Mytilus edulis: one gene and its partners. The main gene of each other region encodes a partner of the protein of the gene in region 3 in a complex. Links are inferred from orthologs where the notes say so. Each region holds a gene or a part of one and is shown on either strand. Other genes may lie near its edges.

The links.
Region 1: the proteins of origin recognition complex subunit 2-like (region 3) and origin recognition complex subunit 3-like are in contact, whole or in part, in a cryo-EM structure (PDB 7JK6), measured with the Drosophila melanogaster proteins. The link is inferred for Mytilus edulis from reciprocal best matches to the Drosophila melanogaster genes Orc2 and Orc3. Residues at the interface, in NP_731873.1 of Drosophila melanogaster: Ala331, Ile332, Lys342, Met344, Cys345, Ile346, Leu347, Asn348, Glu349, Phe351, Tyr356, Leu358, His369, Lys375, Thr377, Val378, Leu379, Val380, Val381, Asn382, Phe385, Asp392, Ser396, Asp400, Ile401, Leu402, Asp403, Asn410, His412, Glu413; in NP_476904.1 of Drosophila melanogaster: Gly10, Cys11, Phe12, Val13, Tyr14, Lys15, Asn16, Ala18, Thr19, Arg20, Ser38, Leu39, Leu40, Tyr50, Tyr53, Arg54, Asn106, Pro108, Arg135, Asp136, Ala142, Arg177, Arg180, Asp308, His312, Gln316, Lys319, Tyr320, Met323, Phe327.
Region 2: the proteins of origin recognition complex subunit 2-like (region 3) and origin recognition complex subunit 5-like are in contact, whole or in part, in a crystal structure (PDB 4XGC), measured with the Drosophila melanogaster proteins. The link is inferred for Mytilus edulis from reciprocal best matches to the Drosophila melanogaster genes Orc2 and Orc5. Residues at the interface, in NP_731873.1 of Drosophila melanogaster: Asp438, Arg443, His468, Asn470, Thr471, Pro472, Leu473, Leu474, Trp475, Asp476, Gln477, Leu480, Trp487, Ser521, Ser524, Glu564; in NP_477132.1 of Drosophila melanogaster: Lys169, Ile382, Cys401, Asn402, Leu404, Ser405, Ile407, Ser408, Thr409, His412, Asn424, Ile425, Met426, Glu427.

Annotation. Positions count from the first base shown.
Region 1 is NC_092353.1:2,484,561-2,492,293, forward strand, and holds the start of origin recognition complex subunit 3-like, read right to left. Parts: upstream 3,019-7,733; 5' UTR 2,882-3,018; coding exon 2,855-2,881; intron 1-2,854. Other genes in the region: guided entry of tail-anchored proteins factor 1-like, read left to right, coding at 6,307-6,387, 7,238-7,403.
Region 2 is NC_092344.1:67,509,659-67,517,224, reverse strand, and holds the start of origin recognition complex subunit 5-like, read right to left. Parts: upstream 3,052-7,566; 5' UTR 2,919-3,051; intron 293-2,918; 5' UTR 276-292; coding exon 183-275; intron 1-182. UniProt on the Drosophila melanogaster protein: Component of the origin recognition complex (ORC) that binds origins of replication. DNA-binding is ATP-dependent, however specific DNA sequences that define origins of replication have not been identified so far.
Region 3 is NC_092350.1:14,218,667-14,226,514, reverse strand, and holds the start of origin recognition complex subunit 2-like, read right to left. Parts: upstream 3,027-7,848; 5' UTR 2,986-3,026; coding exon 2,883-2,985; intron 1-2,882. UniProt on the Drosophila melanogaster protein: Component of the origin recognition complex (ORC) that binds origins of replication. DNA-binding is ATP-dependent, however specific DNA sequences that define origins of replication have not been identified so far.

The DNA of each region.
Region 1 (7,733 bases), on a different chromosome or scaffold from region 3:
AAAGATAACTAAGATTTATGAAAAATGGTTAAAAATTGACTATAAAGGACAATAACTCCTAAAGGGGTCAACTGACCATTTCAGTCATGTTGACTTATTTTTAGGTCTTACTTTGCTGAACATTTTTGCTGTTTACAGTTTATCTTTACCTGTAATAATATTCATGATAATAACCAAAAACAGCAAAATTTCCTTAAAATTTCCAATTCAGGGGCAGCAACCCAACAACGGGTTGTCCGATTCATCTGAAAATATTAGGGCAGATAGATCTTCACCTGATAATCAATTTTACCCATGTCAGATTTGCTCTAAATGCTTTGGTTTTTGAGTTATAAGCCAAAAACTGCATTTGACCCCATGTTCTATTTTTAGCAATGGCGACCATGTTTGTTGATAGATCAAAACTTCGGATACAATTTATAAACTAGATATCCTAAGGAACATTCAGTTAAAGTTTGGAAGTATTTGGCCTAGTAGGTTCAGAGGAGAAGATTCTTGAAATAGTTTAGGACGACAGACGATGGACGACGACGGACGCCAAGTGATGGCATAAGCTCACTTAGCTTGGCCCTTCAGGCCATGTGAGCTAAAAAGTGTTGAAAAATAATGCAAAGATTAAAAAGGGTAGCTTTATTCCTGTAAGAAAATCATCAGGGAGATGTAGGGTTGATGATATAATTGGTAAGGATGTAAATTTGTACAAACTATCATGTGAATTTGGCATATTGAACTCTTATGTTATGGGTGATATCGATCTTTTCCCACGCAAAATTGAAACTGCACATTGGAAAACAGAATGAAATTTATTGCATATTGCTGCAAAATAAGCAAGCAAGCAAGAGATGCAAATGCAAAGGAACATGCACAAACAAATTATACATGTAAAATTGTAAATGTAAAAAAATCTGATGTTCCTCCTAGCAGCAAGTGTCATGAGTGTCACCCAGGGCGGGATTGCCAAAATAGGATTTAGAGACAATTTAATACAGAATTATTTAATTTCAATTGATTTATTGTTAACTTATTCACTTTATTCATCAAACTGTAATAATATTAACTTGAAATACTCAATAAAAGTTTTTTTATTAATGTTTGTCTAAAATAAACCCATATGATCCAAATACATGTATGGTCCAGCTCATTCTAGACCGTATGAGTATACTTGTACGCCACGGTCCGACTGTATACTCATGTGGTCTGGAACATACATGTTGGTGACCTTCTGCCGTTGTTTTTTCTATGGTCGGGTTGTTGTCTCTTTGACACATTCCCCATTTCCATTCTCAATTTTATGTTCCAGACCATATGAGTATTTGGACCGTACGTGTACAGTCCAGACAGTATACGTATACCTGTACGGTCGGACCGTATAAGTATGCGCGTATGGACCATACATGTGATTGGATCATATGGGTTATATTTAAACAATTTTCCACAATCTTTATTTTTAGTTTTACAAATTTTTATTATTACAATTAGACAGATAAACTGAACAAACAAACAATTGAAATTTAACTTTGTTTAATTGCATATCTGAATCCTATTTTGGTACACTCGCCCAAGGTGACTTTATATTTTTTACATTTGAAAATGTACATGTCTGCAGTTCATGCATGTCCCTTTGCATTTGCATTTTTTTGTAAAGTTGCTAAACATTCTAAAACAACTGTCCTCCCATATTATGTTTACTTCAGATATCTTCAATTTCAGTGATCATAATTTAAATAATGTATAACTGATCGACATCATATAAATACAGGAGATTAACAGAGTTGATTAGCATGATTTTTTAAAATAGTTAGAATATAAAGTTTTTATTTCAACTACAATTGAACTTTTTCATATATTAATTTGAGAGTTAAGTTATGCTGATCTGTAATACGCATTAATTATAAATTTGTATCTAATAAACTTGACCAACTTCTCAATATTAGTGAGACTGTATGTGTACGGTCTGATCGTATAAGTATTTTGAAAAAGTACACATACGGTCTGGAACATAAATGCAAGTTGGTTACTGTTAGGGTAGTCCAAATAATTATGACGTCTGGCAAGGCTATTTTAATTTTTTCTGGGACGCCTTCCTACGACGTCATAACGCCGAAGCCATTTTTTAGGTCTGGAGTTTGAGAGCAAATTTTGGGGGGAATTCCGGATAATGTAAATGAAATGTTCTGGGAATTCGGGTCTGTCAAATTTTACCGATTTTAATATTTTATATTCACCGGAAGTCACGTTTGTCACGTTTTTTTGGTAATTGTGGGAAATCTCTCTGAAACAATATAAATATTTGCCCACTTGAAATGGAATTGCATCTTATTTTATCATTACTTTTGGATATTTCTGGAAATATTTTACATAAATCAGCACAAAAAAGGTAGGACTTTGTAATAACGTAAAAATTTCTAACCAGCAATGAAAATTTCAGGTCAAAATAAGGTTTTAAAGTTCCCCCCAAAATTTGCTCTCAAACTCCAAACATAAAAAATGGCTTCGGCGTTATGACGTCGTAGGAAGGCGTCCCAGAAAAAATTAAAATAGCCTTGCCAGACGTCATAATTATTTGGACTACTGTTAGGGTGTCTATTCTGCTAGCCTACACAATAATGTCATGCTCTAATTTTCAGCAAATTGATTTGATTTAATAAATCCTTCACAATAAATCTAGACTACTCTAGAACAGTTGTAGGATATCTGGACTCAAAAAATTGATTATGAATAGAAATATAAAGTAGAAACAAGTGCTTTTTGTAGAAAATAAATAACAAATAATAAACTATTTGATATATTTCAATCATGATAATAAAAAATAAGTAAGCTGTGATGAGAATTTCACTATCATTAATTAATATACTTTTGAAACTGAAGACCCAGTGTCCATGTCAACAGTTTATGGTATTTACTAAAAAAAATTAAGCCTTTTCTGTTTTCTTGCAATCATACATTTTGCGGGAGAATTCAATATACAGGCTCTGTCAATAATGTTTCCTTGGAGAATTACCAAAAATACAACTAATCACCAAACACAATTTCAAGAGAGTTAACACTGTAAACACGTACCAAAAATTAATTACAACTTAATGATGACACATACATGAAACCTCTATTTTCAGACGCATTTGCAGGAGACCTTTGAAAAATGCAAAAGTAATACCAGAGACATATATACACATATAAGTTTCTGGTAATACTTTCTAAAAGGAGGGATTTTACGAGTTGTATTTTCTGTGTGTTTTTTTTTTACATATATATATAATTAATGATAAATTCTTTATTTAACGAAGGTAACTCCTTTAACATGCAATTGTTAATCTCATACAAGGCCTTAACACATTTAAATGAACAATTCATATAACAATCAATGCATATTGCACAATCAATAGATATGTACACAATTACAAATTACAAATATATATCTATGCAAGCATGAAATCAGACTGTACAGAACTAGCATGGCAAGAATGTCATAAAAAAACGTTTGTCTACTCATTTTGTTTTGTGATCAAGAGATTAGCACATTTCATCTTAAAGCTTTCTATAAGTCTTTTCAAAATCCTTTATATCATTTGGCAAACAGTTGAATATGGCCAACTCTCAGGTTACTCCTGTCAGCACTCTGATAACTGTCGGAGAGTTCGAACCAAGAACCTGGTTGAAGACCCCTTTATTTAGCTAGGCAGAAATAAAAACTAGAAGCTTTCCATAGTTTATAAGTGAATAATAATTTGACCAAAGTCATGGCAAAATATTCTGTTAGTTGATTGTGGCCAATGGTCCATTATCCGGTAGAAGTTGAAGACAACTGAGATCAACGATTTTGTAAAGCAAGTAAAAATTCACATAAAAGTAACAAAATTCAATTTGTCATTCGAAGTCTTGTCTTGATGCATTATAATGCAAAACAGACGAATGACATCTTGTGTAGATACAATAAAATGCAAGACAGTATCATCTTCTCTAAGGTGAAAACAGTCAAGAATACGTACTGCATTGATGTAACCAGACTATGATCTTCGCTAACCAAGGGTTACGATCCGGTTTTCCTTATCTCCACGGTGACGATGGACCAGACTGAAGCTCTTCATGAACATCTAAAACTGGTCTCTTCTTTACAGTCTTCAATCTAAGCCCGAGAATTTGCATCAAAATGATGTTAACTTGATAATAAGTGAACTTATCTCCTGCACCACTTAGAAAACACAATATTTTCAAATTAAACTGTCACATCAATTATATTATGTTAGTTCACAGATGTCACATGGTTTTTAGGTGGCAATTACAAGAAGAGATAAAAAATAAATACACAATACCAATCAAGAAATGAATCTTTTTTTTTCTTTATATGTGATTTTGGTTTTTTTTACAAAATTTATTTTTTTCAATAAATTGCAAGATTAAGATATCAAAAAAAAAATACATATTTAAAAATAATTAGGTTTTCAAATTAATCTTAAAAGTCAGGATAAACAACATCACAGAATATTTCCAAAATAAGAATTAAACACCAAAAATAAAGGAGGAGTGTCAACCCCACATGTGCCTGTGCATTTTCCTTTTTAAAGTTTTAAAGTTTAACAATTTTGTGTTTTAAACATCTGTTTGTTGTTATAATATCAGTCGCCTTATCTGTACGAAATGACAGATTTATAGCCCTTCGGCTTATACATTTTATAATTGAGAGAAGATATGAAATTTTCACTTTCTTGTGCATGGATGTTGGACTGAATTTTGTCATTATAAATGCAAATTTTCTGTTTATACTAGTATTACATATTTCAACTATAAAGGAATGGAAAAAAAATATCGTATGGACATAGTGGCTAGACATGCAATTTATTTAGATTATGCTTCATGAAAAAGTTTTTTTTTACCTTCGAAACTTTGAACATGCTTATTTTTTTCAGAACTTTCTATTGAGTCAATATAGCTTTAATATGATTTGATTGACAATAATAAAATTCGAAATTTTGATAACTTTCCTCATGACACATAAAGACAGATTTCCTCTGATGAATACTTCGTTGGGGACTTGTTTCAAATACCACCCAACGCAAAAAAAAACATGGTAAGACGTTAGAATATAAATCTAGTAGGAAGTTGATGTACCAAATTTCGCAGATTTTATGTGCAATTTTACAACGGAACATAGGAAAATGCATTTTATTCAATCTCAATGTTGCGCCGGACATGCAATTATTTAATGTAAAAGTAAGATATGTGTGATCAATAAAATAAACGTATGGTGCAAACATTTATACTTAACTTAAAATAAGAAAAACATGTCAAGGGCTTTCTGTAGACGTATGCATGTTGGTGGGTTTATTTTGTATAGGCGAATTGTTGCTGTTCTAAAATAATATCATAACGAAATTATTTAATTTTGGATGTAACGCGTCTTCTGATTGGCTGACGTTATTTTGTTATCAGCCCATAGACATAATTTAGTCATGTGACCGTGACGTCATCAACGTTTTTCATGGTTTTCTACGGTAAAACTGTTTAAAATGAATTTAGAATTAAATTATAAGAAATGACTGTAATATTTTTCTGTCTATTTCGAAATAACACGCACGTTATTCAGTGTGCACCACATTTTTTTTATGTTATTTCTTCATAGACAGAAAAAATATTACAGTCATTCCTTAAATGTTAATCCAATCATTAACGTGCGTAATGTCTACATATTTCATTTGCTCATTTTTAGAAGATGACTGTCTTATGGTGATGTTACTGTAGATTTTACCTTTTCCGGTTAATACTTCATCTGTTCAGTGATATTTACTGTGAACATTTTGTGAACATTTAAATCTATTAACCTATCTTTAAAAATATGTGCATCATCAGTAATGTCAGGAACATATATATTAACTTATAAGTTAGATATACTATTCCGAGGTAATGTCAAATAATAAAAAAATACAAAATATTTTCCCTTAGAAAACTTTGTAAGACTTTCTTTCCTCTCTTTGCTCAAAGAAGTGCAATTTGGATACTCTGACGAATCAAGATTTTTTCCTTAAAACATGGATAAATTAGAAATTGTATATTAAAAATTTCTATTGGTACGACTTTCATTTTTAATTTATGTTTTATGTGAAGTCGGTATTTAGGAAGCAGGCTGTATGTTGTATTCGAAACTTTTAGTTTGGACTTCAGTGATTGTAAAAACGAACAATCTCGATAAAGTCTTAGTAGTCTGTAACAAAACATTTAATCATCTTCAAAGCGCTTTAAAGTAACATATATCAAGAATCAAAAGCAAGTTGATACTTGACGTTGAATTATATTCTGGAAAAAAGAAAAAAAATGTTTTTGCTTATACTAGTTCTAATTTTGGTGATTTTCTTCAATATTTTGTCGAATTTTACCCAGATAATTTCAAAACAAGTATGAATCAATCCATTTTGCATGCAATTTTCCTTCTTCTTTAATATATACAAATGCCTTTTGTAGGTTTATCATAACAAATGGACAAAAAAATGAAGACTGGCTATATTTACACATCTTAAACTACTCTAGAGTACAGTCTAACCTGTTTAGTTGGAAAGGTTTTAAGGCCTGGTATCAACTAGATATATAAAAGTTAAATGCATAATGTATTTCAGAAAGAAATTGGATTTTGATGGGCATTTTTTTGTTGTTCCTGTAGCCAGAAGGTGTAAAAATAAATGCACACCTGAATTGCTTTAGATACTGTACACTCAATACACCTTATCGCTATTTGTCCGCCATTACTGAAAATCACACAGGTTCCCGTAAAATTTTTACGTCTTAAAACCAAATATCTGACGTCCGAATGGAGAAGTGATTGTTGTATGCGTCAAAAGTTCAAGCGGCCGGGTCAGCAGGGATTAGTGATAAGGTGTATTGCACGCTTTAACTCACCTATAGTTGTAGATAACTAATGTCTGTCTATTGTCCATGTCAATCAATCAATTCAATACAATACAGTTGTTACCTGATCAAAGTTCTATCCAAACATAGTTTTTTTTTTATTTTTGTAAATTTTTCTTAATCAGCCATGGAAATATTTATATAAAGTACAGATCAGATGTGACCAGCTATGGCCGAAGACCATACAAAAAAAATAACTACAGTACAGATCAGGAGATGTAGGAATGGCCCAGGTGACAGAAGAATAATGATCACAGTGTGAATGATGTGCATTCTATGCTTATTAACAGACATTTGGTGAGATTCACACAGAAATGAAAAAAATGTTTATTTTATGTTTCAGCTGAGTAAGCAGATATACCCTGTTTGTGATACAGAACTGAATATAAGATCACAGATTAAAGATCTGAAGACAGAACAGGATGGTGTACAGATGGTGGATGAGTTTGCCAGACATGCAAAGATACAGAGGAAAATTGATAAATTATTATCTCAAGTTAAACAACAAAGTAATTTATCATTTTACAGCTTAACAAAAAATGTTAAGAAGCTTAAAATTTATTACCATAATGTTAAAATATATTTTGCAAATTATGAATCATTTATTGTTTATGAAAGCTATGTTACCAACCATAATTATAGAGGTCTTGGTTTTGCCTGAGGGAGTTGGAACCTTAGTTTCTTTATTATGTTTATATTTAATATGAGGCAGGCATTACCTGTAAATGGGGACGAAGTCTGTATGAATTATTTTTTTGTAACTTAAATATTTGTTTAAAAAAAAAGAAACGGAAATACCGTAACGTTTCCGATTTTGGTTCTGTTGTTAGGGATTTAGT
Region 2 (7,566 bases), on a different chromosome or scaffold from region 3:
ATTTAAAGTAGTTATCAAAGTAGAGTTTAAATTGACCCAAGAATATTATTTTTTAAAATAGACATGGAAAAAGCAGGACAACTTGCATTTTTTTGAAAACTAAAATTTAGGACCCTTTTTATGTAATCTTCATTTTATGTAATCTGCATCTGTATACACTTGTAAAAAAACATTTCACTTACCTGTCCAAACAATGACAGCAACAAATTAATCTGTGATTGTCTGCATGGAAATGTTTTGTTGAGATCTTCTTTAAAGTTGTCTACTTCTGTCATATTTTCTGATGCAGCTTCTACATAAAAGGAGAACAAATGAGCAGTATTTGACAGGTGTCAACTGAACATAAGGAATGTATTAATAGCTAGATCAAATAAATCAAATATCTTTATAAAACATCTATTATATATATCATAATGGTATAAAAATATCTTGTTATTTAAACATGTTAAATATAAAGATATCGAATATCCATAAATTATAAGTACAGTAGACTCCACCTAATCGGATATCGGTTAATCGAATATATCGGCTATTGTAATATTATTTCAAAACACCGAACCATTCCCTATACATTTCAGTCAAAATACATCGGATAATCGAATATCGGTTATTAGAATATATCGGCTAATTGGATAGGAATATTCATGGAAAATGTGTGAAAACCATGTACAATCGAATATTTTGAAATAGTTTCATATTTTTTTTGACAGGAAATGAAACCGGAAGTCACGCCATTACGAAGTTTAAGAAAACTTCAGTACAGAAATGTTTCATTTTATTAATAAAAACGATCTTTCATAGTCAAATAAAACATATTTTTTCTTATTGTCTTGTTTATTTTATGAATTTGATATTATATTCTGCCCAAGATGTGTTTGTTATGTGTTTATCCAAATGTGATCGTTGTCATTTACTTCACAAACAATGACACGACAAAATGATAAACTGTGCGTGATGTTCATCAATGTTTATTAAATATGAATGAAATGTACCTCTTTCTCAACAATTTATTAAAATATATATAGAAGTCCCGTGTAAAAACAAGGAATCGTGTGTCAATAGCATGTCCCAGGTGAAATAGAATTATGTAACTTGTACACACGTACGCCATTTTCCTAATTTACATAATATTCAGCCTTTTATTTTGAACCACGACAGAGAAGATAGAAAAGCAAAATTAATTTTACAATTTTATAATCATAAACATAGTTGTATTACTTGAAATTGGAAATGGATTTCATAAATAAAAAAATGTAGAAAATTAGATCCGAGTACGATTACAGGTAGAAGTTTATAGTCGGCATGAATTCGTAGCTATTAATAGAATTTACCTGTGGCCTACTTCCGAGAATTCATAGCTATTTTTAGCTTTTACCTGTTTTAACACACAAATGAAACAAATCACGCAAAAACAACAAGTCACATTATTTAAATGGTACATATTTTATTCAGATAATCAACTCATAATTAATAATTAATAATCAATAGACTGACAGATAAACAAAATACATTATTATCAACTGATTGATCTGTTACTCAATCAACCGAATTATCCGAACTTGTACCTGAAAAAACAATGAGATTAGTTACAAATTTCCATTAATAAAGCAGCTATAATAGCTATTGGTATCTTAGGGTTGTGTCTGTCAATTTTGAAAAAAAACTCGGAGGAATATACGTTCATCGGCTAATTGAATATATCGGACAATATCAGATATTTTTAGCTGACATTTTGGGTATCCGATTGGCCGGAGTCTACTGTACTCTGTATTTATTGCCAGCAATTTTTATATTTATAAGGCCCAAAAAAATAATACATGTATTTCCCCTAACCCTACCTACCCAAGTTTTTAGTGCATACCTTAATTTTTTGGGGCATTTTGAACAAGCACCGTTAGAGTCAGACTGGTTCCCAAGTAGTATCCAGCTAAGAAATGTTTGGAAAATAAAATGATATTGCCTACCTACCTAACATGCCTAAGTAAACTACCCTAAATTCTTTCAGAACTTAAGCAGGAACACATGTATTATTTTTTTGGCCTACATGTATATTAGGATTACTCATGAACAGGTTCAAGTGACGCCACAGTTTGAACTTGAACTTGATCTGTAAATTATGGAAGAAAGCATTCTGTACAAGTTTTGTAACATTTGGTTGAGGCAGACTCGTTCATAGAGAACAGAAACCAATTTTGGATTGGAACCAACAGGAAAAACGGGACTGACAAGGGTAACACTTAATGCCCCTACACTTGGGGAATAAAAATACATAAGACACAGAATTATATCTTTCATAGCAGAATCTGCCAAAGTTTTGGGGATTTTTGTTCATCAATAATCATGAGACTGAGTAGTTTAATTTTTTACATGTTATGATGTTGAAAGTGTGGGTCGGATTGACTTGGAATGAAGACTTAGAACAGAAGGACCTGAGGACGGATCAACTAGGGGACGGGTAGTCCAAATAATTATGACGTCTTAAAAGGCTATTATAATTTTTTTCTTTGACGCCTTACTTCGACGTCGAAGTAAGGCGTCAAAGAAAAAAATTAGACGTCGAAGTAAGGCGTCAAAGAAAAAAATTATAATAGCCTTTCAAGACGTCATAATTATTTGGACTAGGGGACGGGTAGACATGAAAACAGGGCTTCGAGTTAAGTGTTTATAATGTTAGATGCTATGTAAAATGTTTCTCATGTGTAGTCTGTGACAGTGTCAAGTAAGCCGGTGACTGTCTAGTCCAAATAATTATGACGTCGTAGAAAGGCTTCCCAGAAAAAAAATTCGTTACCAACACAGGCACACTGTCATGACCGTGTGCCGGTGTGGTACTGGTAACGAAAAAGTTATAAATTTTGTCATCTAGAGATTTTTTTCTTCATATGTAATTTATAAATAAATAATTGAAGTAAAAGGACCTTGTATGTCGGTCACCTAATTCTAAACAGGTAATGTTGTCAAAATTCATTAAATTTCCCCGCCAAATTTCGGATCTTTTTAATGATTTCCGATGACTATCGAAAGATTATCCTTATAAAACACTGAGTCAATAGCGGACGAGATGACTGTTCCGTCTTATATGTCTATCGGCTTGAGCTAAACTAATATTACAGATAATCTTTACTTAAGGGGGTTCGCGGGTCTAAATCATTTAAATAGGATTTCTCTATATTTTTCTATAAATGAACTTTATCTTATAGTTAATAGAAAAATAAAATAAAAAATGGGGTCACCGTTCATTTGCGCTCACAATCTGCCTTCGAAAGAACAGAGACATATATATATGTCTCTGGAAAGAAGCATACATCTTTGTTAAAGTGGTTTTTTTTTCTGTTGAACTGATAGGAAAAATAAAAGTAATATCGAAATAAAAAAAAGAAATTTATTACAGAAATCGCTCAAATTTTGCAATAATTTAATTTAAGTACAGCATATATCGAAATTATATTAAAAAATATAGCCTGGTCACCGATGAGTTAAAAGAGATATTTCAATTTTAAAAAATATATGTTATATTTGTTATTCTCGTGGGATTTTGTCTATGTGTGTTACATTTTAGTGTTATGTCGTTGTTCTCCTCTTATATTAAATGCGTTTCCCTCGGTTTTAGTTTGTTACCCCGATTTTGTTTTTTGTCCATGGATTTATGAGTTTTGAACAGCGGTATACTACTGTTGCCTTTATTTAAAGCCAAAAAATGGCATTTTTTCACCAAAGGGAGATAATTTGGAACTTTTTTAATGATGCTTACATTTAAAAAGTCATCTGGGGCCAACACGAATTAATTGTTTTGAATGTTTTTTGTACCATATGATAAAGTAACAACTACAAAAGGTAATAAATAAAATTTGTAATGAAAAACAAATGTTTATTTTTTTTCTGAAATTTTTATACCCTCGAGCCTCCTTAAAGATTTAATTTCAGTTGCGAATCATCCCATGAAGCAAACTGTCTATGTTTTGAAGGAACGAATTGTTATGTACCACTTTTAGGCCCATATATATATATATATAACTTCCTCACGTTTCTAAAACAATGTAAAAGTATAATCACTATAAAACTGAACTCAAACACACCAAAACGAATGGATAACAGCTGTCATATTCCTGACTTGGTACAGACATTTTCTAATATAGAAAGTGGTTGATTAAAAAAAAAATTCTAATATAGGATTTCGCTATATTTTTTCATAAATGAACTTTATCATATACTTAAAAGAAAAATGAAATAAAAAAATGGGGCCACCGTTCATTTAAGCTCACAATCTGCCTCCGGAATAAGCATACATTTTTGTTAATGTCCTTTTTTTCTGTTGAGCTAATGAAGAAATAGACGGGTAATATCGAAATAAAAAAATAACATAATTACAGAAATCGCTTAAATTTTACAATTATTTAGTTTATGTACAGCTTATTTGAAAACATGTGTGCTGGTGGTTGTTCCACAGGGCAGTAGTATGCGTCTAGTGTGGTTGTTTTTTTTATGAAAAGCAGCTGCCGCTGGCTAGCTTGCATATGTGAGCGAAGAGAGAGCCGAGTGAGTAAGCCTCTCCTGTCAGTACATAGCCTCTACACTGTCAAGACTTCTACAGTGCCTCCCCGCGACAGCACATGGTAACTGGGATCTAGTATCTCAGGCTTTACTGTAGAGGATCTTGGAGCAGCAAGGGCCCTAAAGATGCAGAGTGTAGGCCCACCGGCGTGTGGACACGCCCTTACTCTCATTAACCTTGCCCCAACTATGGGTAAATAGCCGGTTAGATGAAGATCGTTAACCCAGGAAGGTAATTTATCTAGGAGAAAGAAAACTCTGATATAAAAAGGGCAGATAATGGTTCGTCAGCCTTGGTCGGCAACTTATCTAAAGGAAGGAAACCTCGACAAAAAATCCCTGGCCCTCCAAGTAGGGGGTTCGGCATAGGGCCAACAACTCTATCCTGTAAAAAGAATTAAGTTACGGAAACAGCAACAAAGGAATCAAACACAACCGCTGTGCGAATAGGCCTTCAAGAAAATAGTATGATTGCCAGTGGTGAAAGCCGCAAGGAAGCTGCTGGCAGGAATGAAGTGCTGAGCGCTAAAGCAAAAACCAGAATAGGATTCTGGAACGTACGTACTATGTATGAAACTGGGAAACTTGCACAGGTCACATCAGAAATGAGGCGATATAATTTGCACATTTTGGGAGTTAGCGAGAGTAGATGGACAGGTTCTGGTAAGATAAAGACAGATTCAGGAGAAACAGTTCTGTACTCAGGGAGAGATGACAACTATCATTTTGAAGGAGTAGCCATCATCCTCAAGAAAGGCACTGAGAAGAGACTTATGGAATGGAAACCTGTCAATAGTAGATTGATAACAGCAAAATTTAAAGGAGTGCACACCAACATGACCCTTATACAATGCTATGCACCAACAAATGACAGTGATGAAGCTATGAAAGACACCTTTTACGAACAACTACAAGCTGAAGTGAGATTGGTACCCCGTCATGATCTATTGGTGGTGATGGGTGATTTGAATGCCAAAGTGGGAAACAACAACACTGATATGGACAGAATAATAGGTAAACATGGATGTGGTACTATAAATGATAATGGAGAAAGACTAGCAGAATTATGTGCAGCTTACAACTTGGTAGTAGGAGGAACACTCTTTTCACATCAAGATATACATAAATTAACATGGTGTTCTCCAAATGGAAGGGATAAGAACCAGATAGACCACCTTATGATAAATGGTACTTGGAGGCGTTCATTACTCGATGTTAAAGTCAAGAGGGGAGCAGATGTTGGTAGTGACCATCACCTTGTTACTGCAAATATTAAGATGAAATTGAGAAGTACAGGACGTAAAACACTTGTCCCCACAAGATATGATATTGAAAAATTACAAGATCACAAAGTAAAAACTGCATTCATCCTCCAATTGAAAAATAAGTTTCAAGCTCTTACAGATAATCCTGACATGATCCCGACAGAAACAACAAAAGTCAACTCAAAATGGGATCAAATAAGAAAAATTTACGAAACAACTAGCAAAGAATGTTTGGGTTTTAAACAGGGTAAAACGATGAAGAAATGGATAACACCAGGTACATGGAAGGTTATAGAAGAAAGACGTCACATGAATAAGAAGATTCTAGACACAAAATCTGAACGGTTACAAGAAAGACACAAAGCAAGCTACAGAGTACTAGACAAAAATGTTAAGCGAATGGCTAGAGCAGACAAAAGAGCTTACATGGAAGACCTTGCTAAACAAGCAGAAGAAGCAGCAGAAAAGGGCGAACAAGGAAAAATCTACAAGATCACAAGAGAAATCTGTGGTAAATTTCGTAACACTAATGATGTCCATATAAAAGACAAAAATGGAAGGCTATTGACAACAGAAGACGAGCAAAAAGCCAGATGGGCAGAACACTTTAAGGAAGTACTTAACAGGCCACCGCCAGGTGACGAAGCGATAGTAATTGAGGCAGTTCAAGACTTGGAAATTAATATCAACCTTCCAGACAAACAAGAAATAATAAAAGTAATAAAATCTTTAAAAAATGGAAAATCACCAGGTCATGACAACCTGAATGCAGAACTTTTCAAAGTCGACCCAGAACTCGCAGCTGAAATTCTTCAAGCATTATTTACATCAATATGGGAAGGAAAAATAATACCAGACGATTGGACCAAAGGCATAATAATAAAGCTAGCCAAGAAAGGAGCTCTAAGCGATTGCAACAATTGGCGAGGCATTACCCTCCTGTCAATTCCAAGTAAAATCATGGCCAAAATTATTATCCAAAGAATAATAGATGCAATTGATAAACAACTAAGAGAAGAGCAAGCAGGATTCCGTAAAGGTAGAGGGTGCATCGATCAAATTTTTGCTTTACGCAACATCATCGAACAATGTACAGAATGGCAAAGGCAGCTTTACATCAACTTTGTGGATTTCCAGAAGGCCTTTGACAGTATCAACAGAAAGACCTTGTGGCGAATACTAAGAGCATATGGAATTCCAAAAGATATAATTGAACTTATCAAAAGTTTTTACAACAATTTCACTTGCAGTGTAGGGCATAGCAACATCTGGTTTGAGGTAAAAACAGGAGTTAGGCAAGGATGTGTGATGTCTTCTCTTCTTTTCAATGTTGTCATTGACTGGGTAATGAGAAAAACAACAGAAGATGCTCCAAGAGGAATAAGATGGAACCTTTCAGCAACACTAGAAGATCTTGATTTTGCTGATGATCTTGCTCTTTTATCTCACACCCACCACCATTTACAAAAGAAGACAAACCGCCTTAATACATTTGCCAGTCAAGTTGGACTTAAAATCAGCCAAACCAAAACAGAAGTCATGACCCTAAACATCAATAACCCAGCTCCTATCCTAGTAGATGGAAAAGATCTTCCCATCACAGAAACATTTACATACCTAGGAAGTACAATAAGAAACGATGGAGGTGCAGGAAATGACATTATGAACAGATTAAACAAAGCCAGAAATATTTTCAGATCATTAAACAATGTATGGAAATCAGCACAGTACAGTAAGAAGACCAAACTTA
Region 3 (7,848 bases):
TGTCAGAAAGGCGTGCATAATTGACGAGTTTTTTCTGGAGACAGACAAACTCGAAAGTGGTCTATTGGTCCATATGGTACAAAATGATTTTGATCATGGGTATGAAATGGTAAAAGTTAAGAACGAAATGTGATTTTAGGTATGAAATGGAAGAGGTACAAAATGCCAAGGTACAAATTGACTTGTTACCAAAGAACTGATCATAATTTTTGTGATGAACATACGATGTATAAATATAGTGGACTTTACCATTTTTGGAGAGAAAAAAAACTTTGAATGTTTTAGAGAAATTACATGCTTTTGACATGTTTGATGATACTTTTGATACCGTTGACAGTTTTGACATTCCCACTCTTTACACAATACTTCCACGCAATCTTATTAAACAGGTTGGGAACAAACCCTCTATATATGGTGTTTATACCTGTATAGACATGATAGAGGGATAATCCTTCTGTAAAGAGATAAAATTATCCTTCTATAAAGGAATATTTTTTTTTAGACTCGATTTAAAGCAAAATAGGCCAAAATAGCATTTTCTACTTATTATGGCAGTAACCTGCAACGTTTGATGCACCAATTGATGAACTTAATTTAATATGCATATGGCCCGTTTACTGCTTTACTGACTGAGTATACAATCTATTGTTTATCATAATTGAAAGCTGTGATGATCAGGTAAATTCCACTCAGTTATGCCTCAATGAACAGAATTTCTATTGTCATGATTGTAGGATTTAACATAAAATTTAAAGGTTGACTGTCCCTTTTGTTGTTGATCAGATGTTCAGATAGGTATACAAAAGATTACAAGTTCTGTCACTTAAGCAGAAAAACTGGGCATGTCAATTTTTAGTAAAGTGCAATAACTGACAAATATATAATGCTATAGATTAATATAGCCATATACATGTAGAATGTACATGTAAATAGAAAATGCCATTTTCCTGTTTTAAATCCTGTCGAAACACAAATATCACTCTACAATTGCTCTACAGAGGGATAATTTTATAAGAATACAAGAAAAGATTCGGATTTTGGAAAAAGGCTGAAACATTTCTTTGGTTTGGCTTTATACATGTACTTGCCAAACAATAATATTCAAGAATGCCATGCAGAATTAATAACAAATGCACCATCTGACGATAAATGCATCAGGTTTCCAGATTACATTTGGGCATCACCACTTGATCCCTGGAAAGAAAACAACAAACAATGCCATTCAATAGGTTTTCCTGAAATTATTTTCCCCGAAAAGTGAGATATTTATTTCCAGAAAAGATGAAAAGTAGAATTTTTTTCACGGAAAAGTATTTATCCCCCAGAATAGTAATGCCAATTCCAGAAATGTAAAACACCGTTTTTATAGAAGGATTATCCATCTATACAGGTATAAACACCATGTTGAAGGTTTGTTCCCACACTGTTAAACAAAAGTTTTTCCATTTATAATTTATTTGTCGTTCAATAAATCTAGTTGCATTTCTATTTGCTGTAACTCATATACAGCCTTTTCTCACAAATGAGTAAGATAAATATGGCCTGTATACAGTATGGGTTTGTCTCATTGTTGAAAGCTGTAAAGTTTATAGTATATAATAGAATATATATTATAATATATAATGTAATATGTAATGCTATAGATTATAATATATATGATGCTATAGATTATAAGTTTATAATATTGATCCAAATTCAGTATATTTAAATATTACCCTGTTTGTAAATACCTGCATATACATTTGTATATGTAAATGTGTTTATTTTTATTTTTGCACAAAATTATTTTTGATTATTGCTAGCTTAAAATTGTTATCTTTAAATAAGTGCCTTTTTTGCGATGCGCCAACATATAGTCATCAATGTGCTAATACACTTTATCGCTATTCCCGGCTGACCCGGCCAATTGAACTTTTGACATCATACAACAATCACTATTCCATTGTGGCATCAGTTAGTTTGTTTTCTGACGTCAAAATTTTACGGGAACCTATGTGATATCCAGTAATGGCGGAGAAATAGCGATTAGGTACATGGATCGTCGTAGGATGTATAGTCATGGTCAGCTGAAATTTGTAGTGGTTATCGGTAAAAATAATCTAATCTATCAATCGCGTTGGCACTCGAGATAGAGTTTTTCGCATTCCATTCATAAATCGTCAAAAGAAAAACCACTACCGACCTACCTTTTAAGTGATTGCACTGTAATAATCCTGACCTTCACATTTTCCAGAATGTTTTCCATTGTAATTCCGCCATCTTCGTTTCTATGAGGATCCTTTGTTTACATGTGACATGCGTTATACTTTGGAGTTTCCTGTAATATTCTTGTCATTGATGTGATAAAGTTTCCAGCGCTTTATGCTTATTTTCTGAACTTGAACTCCACAGAAACACTTCCGGTTAATACAATGGCGGATTCCACCATTCAAAATTGTCTTGGAAAATATGAAAGTCAGGATTATCACAGTTCAATCACTTTAAAGGTAGGTCAGTAGTGGTTTTTATCTTTTGGATTTATGAATGAAATGTGAAAAACTATATCACGAGTAAATGTGGTTGATAGTTAAGATTATTTATACCGATAGCCGCTACAAATTTCAGCTGACGGCGACTATAGATGTAGAGCATGGAGAGGGTTGGCTTGCCTAGGCTATAAATTTGCTTAGATCCACTTTATTCTAACTTTGGTGGATAGTCGTCTAATTGGCTATCATACCATATCTTCTAATCTTAATATAAATATAGTGGACAATTTGTGACAAATAATGAGATCTCCCATAATATCTGAACCCTAATAATTTCTGTGATAGATTGTTTTCATCCCCGCGACTACAATGACAATGTATGTATGGACAGCATGACCCCAAAAAAATCTTCACCTTTTTTGGAAGACTTTTCATGTGCGTCTACTATATGCTGAATAACATCTTCGTCTGCAACAAAACTGACAGATACACATTTTCTTCGTGGACGACTGTTCATTTTTCTTCTTTCCCGCAAAATAGCTCTTCAAAATAAAGTAGCACAAATGGAAAAAGTATAAAAACCTAACAAATGTTCCGGGTTCGTTCTTTAACGTGCCGAAAAAAGATGTAAAGCGTCTAAACATATTAAGTCAATTAAGTGTTTGATAAAAGTTATAACTTTTTATCACGAAATTTGAAGATAATAATCCTAGAAATATTAGTGCATAACTCAATCTGCGATTTTCCTATCCAACCTACTAAAAGAGGGACGAATTGAAAGACACCAGAGGGACAGTCAAACTCATAAATCGAAAATAAACTGACAACACCATGGCTAAAAATGGAAAAAAGGACAAACAGACAAACAATACACATGACACAACATAGAAAACTAAAGAATAAACAACACGAACCCCACCAAAAACTAGGGGTGATCTGCGGCAGGTACTCCGGAAGGGTAAGCAGATCCTGCTCCACATGTGGCAGTCGTCATATTCAACTAAGTCGGACATCACGTGACGTATACTAACCGCCATTTTGTATTATATTGCCAGATATAAAATGCATAGGTGCTTCAATAAAGTTTAATTTTCTCATTAACCTGACCCGTTTTCTAACTTTTGCAAATCAATCCTTGATATTCAAACATATTTCTATCAAACAATGTTGGTCCTAACAGTTTAATTTTTCATTAAATTCTGTCAAATGAGAATCGTAAAAACATTACTTTTTCTCGTTATTTCTCCGTTAAGGGACGACATCAAAAGATCAATGTAAGATAAAAAAAACTTAATTCAAATAGTTTGTGGGGGGGGGGGGGGGGGGGTGAACGGCTGCAAGATTTGGTTATCCGATATTGATTTTTACATATATGAGGGGGGATAGGACCTTTATCGAGACTCCGGGATGGGGTGTTTTTAAGCTTGGGATTTCGGGATTTACTCCTTCGGGATCCGGGAATTCTTTATGTCGAATTTCGGTGTCAAAGTCCCTATCTGTTCAACCAAATTTTGCAATTTTCACAGCTTTCTAAATATTTTACCTTAAGTTTAACTTCATAGAAACTAGGTATATCCTGAATTGTACAGGTGTCACCTTTCTGCATGCCAATTTTCAACATACATTCAAAATCATACAAGAAAGCAGAGAGCTTCCGAAAGGAGGTACCACTAAAAATAACCCCTGGTTTTCTGGAAATCTTAAATTAGTATACTATGGAGCGCATTAATCCTCAATTTTTAATGCAAACTCATAGACAGGTAAATTTTGGCTCAAAATGGTCTTAATATATTTCTCTTTCAACAAAACTTTCATTTCTGCAAATTTGTTCGTTAGTTTAGGTGAACAATGACATCAAATGCACTTTTTTTTGTCCGAGTAGGCCTACTTTCACATACGTTCTAAATTTGAGGGAGTAATTGGTGGTATGACACCTAAAGAGACAAAAAAGTTGATTAGAAATCTTTTATTTTGCTTTATTCTTAATCCTTAGTCAATTTGTAGTTAAAAACAGCCTATCTGAGCATTATGCGACTTATAATAAAAATTTCACAGCTCAATTTAAACTGACTGTAATGTATGACTTTGATAGAAAATACTTGAAAATTTCATTTTGGGCTACAGGAACATAAACTTTCAATATCAAGATCATTGTTTGCTGATTTTTTCTTGTTTGTTCTACTTCTTTAAAGACTTCCAACAATTTTTGCAATGAATTTAGTAAAAAATCCAAGGTATTGAAGTGTCAAGGAATATTGACCCCCCTTTTTTTCATCTGGTGTCAGTAAAGTACTACAAATTGATCAAAAGTGCAGTCATGGTCATTTAACTGTGTTTATTTACATCAGTTAATAAAAATTAAGATATAAAAATTTCATTTGGAATAATAAATGGTGCTTTTGTGAGTTTCTGCAGTGCTTACATTAGGCTATGCTATCTGCCAAGTACATAGTATGACGCAATGCTATAAGGGGTAAAAATCAAATAATTTCATTAAATCTGCATGACAAATTTTTTTTGGGGGTAGTAAACAACTTATGTTTCAATGTCTAACACCACAGAATAACTTTCTGTGCATTTATAACATTATTTAGGACATTTTTTATATAAAAGCCTATTGTCAGGATGGGAAAAGCTAAAAATAGGACAAACTCAAGTTTTAGGCTCTAAATTTGCAATATGTGACATTTTGCCCCCAAAAAGATTGAAATGTGGCTACTATTATCTCAAATGATCAGTTAAGACAAAAAAAAACAATTGTTTTCTGATTTTGATGTTTCACCGCATTTTGCTTAAAGAGACAAAAAAGTTGATTAGAAATCTTTTATTTTGCTTTATTCTTAATCCTTAGTCAATTTGTAGTTAAAAACAGCCTATCTGAGCATTATGCGACTTATAATAAAAATTTCACAGCTCAATTTAAACTGACTGTAATGTATGACTTTGATAGAAAATACTTGAAAATTTCATTTTGGGCTACAGGAACATAAACTTTCAATATCAAGATCATTGTTTGCTGATTTTTTCTTGTTTGTTCTACTTCTTTAAAGACTTCCAACAATTTTTGCAATGAATTTAGTAAAAAATCCAAGGTATTGAAGTGTCAAGGAATATTGACCCCCCTTTTTTTCATCTGGTGTCAGTAAAGTACTACAAATTGATCAAAAGTGCAGTCATGGTCATTTAACTGTGTTTATTTACATCAGTTAATAAAAATTAAGATATAAAAATTTCATTTGGAATAATAAATGGTGCTTTTGTGAGTTTCTGCAGTGCTTACATTAGGCTATGCTATCTGCCAAGTACATAGTATGACGCAATGCTATAAGGGGTAAAAAATCAAATAATTTCATTAAATCTGCATGACAAATTTTTTTTGGGGGTAGTAAACAACTTATGTTTCAATGTCTAACACCACAGAATAACTTTCTGTGCATTTATAACATTATTTAGGACATTTTTTATATAAAAGCCTATTGTCAGGATGGGAAAAGCTAAAAATAGGACAAACTCAAGTTTTAGGCTCTAAATTTGCAATATGTGACATTTTGCCCCCAAAAAGATTGAAATGTGGCTACTATTATCTCAAATGATCAGTTAAGACAAAAAAAAACAATTGTTTTCTGATTTTGATGTTTCACCGCATTTTGCTTAAAGGTGTCATACCACCAATTAAAAGTCCCTATCTGTTCAACCAAATTTTGCAATTTTCACAGCTTTCTAAATATTTTACCTTAAGTTTAACTTCATAGAAACTAGGTATATCCTGAATTGTACAGGTGTCACCTTTCTGCATGCCAATTTTCAACATACATTCAAAATCATACAAGAAAGCAGAGAGCTTCCGAAAGGAGGTACCACTAAAAATAACCCCTGGTTTTCTGGAAATCTTAAATTAGTATACTATGGAGCGCATTAATCCTCAATTTTTAATGCAAACTCATAGACAGGTAAATTTTGGCTCAAAATGGTCTTAATATATTTCTCTTTCAACAAAACTTTCATTTCTGCAAATTTGTTCGTTAGTTTAGGTGAACAATGACATCAAATGCACTTTTTTTTGTCCGAGTAGGCCTACTTTCACATACGTTCTAAATTTGAGGGAGTAATTGGTGGTATGACACCTAAAGAGACAAAAAAGTTGATTAGAAATCTTTTATTTTGCTTTATTCTTAATCCTTAGTCAATTTGTAGTTAAAAACAGCCTATCTGAGCATTATGCGACTTATAATAAAAATTTCACAGCTCAATTTAAACTGACTGTAATGTATGACTTTGATAGAAAATACTTGAAAATTTCATTTTGGGCTACAGGAACATAAACTTTCAATATCAAGATCATTGTTTGCTGATTTTTTCTTGTTTGTTCGACTTCTTTAAAGACTTCCAACAATTTTTGCAATGAATTTAGTAAAAAATCCAAGGTATTGAAGTGTCAAGGAATATTGACCCCCCTTTTTTTCATCTGGTGTCAGTAAAGTACTACAAATTGATCAAAAGTGCAGTCATGGTCATTTAACTGTGTTTATTTACATCAGTTAATAAAAATTAAGATATAAAAATTTCATTTGGAATAATAAATGGTGCTTTTGTGAGTTTCTGCAGTGCTTACATTAGGCTATGCTATCTGCCAAGTACATAGTATGACGCAATGCTATAAGGGGTAAAAATCAAATAATTTCATTAAATCTGCATGACAAATTTTTTTTGGGGGTAGTAAACAACTTATGTTTCAATGTCTAACACCACAGAATAACTTTCTGTGCATTTATAACATTATTTAGGACATTTTTTATATAAAAGCCTATTGTCAGGATGGGAAAAGCTAAAAATAGGACAAACTCAAGTTTTAGGCTCTAAATTTGCAATATGTGACATTTTGCCCCCAAAAAGATTGAAATGTGGCTACTATTATCTCAAATGATCAGTTAAGACAAAAAAAAACAATTGTTTTCTGATTTTGATGTTTCACCGCATTTTGCTTAAAGAGACAAAAAAGTTGATTAGAAATCTTTTATTTTGCTTTATTCTTAATCCTTAGTCAATTTGTAGTTAAAAACAGCCTATCTGAGCATTATGCGACTTATAATAAAAATTTCACAGCTCAATTTAAACTGACTGTAATGTATGACTTTGATAGAAAATACTTGAAAATTTCATTTTGGGCTACAGGAACATAAACTTTCAATATCAAGATCATTGTTTGCTGATTTTTTCTTGTTTGTTCTACTTCTTTAAAGACTTCCAACAATTTTTGCAATGAATTTAGTAAAAAATCCAAGGTATTGAAGTGTCAAGGAATATTGACCCCCCTTTTTTTCATCTGGTGTCAGTAAAGTACTACAAATTGATCAAAAGTGCAGTCATGGTCATTTAACTG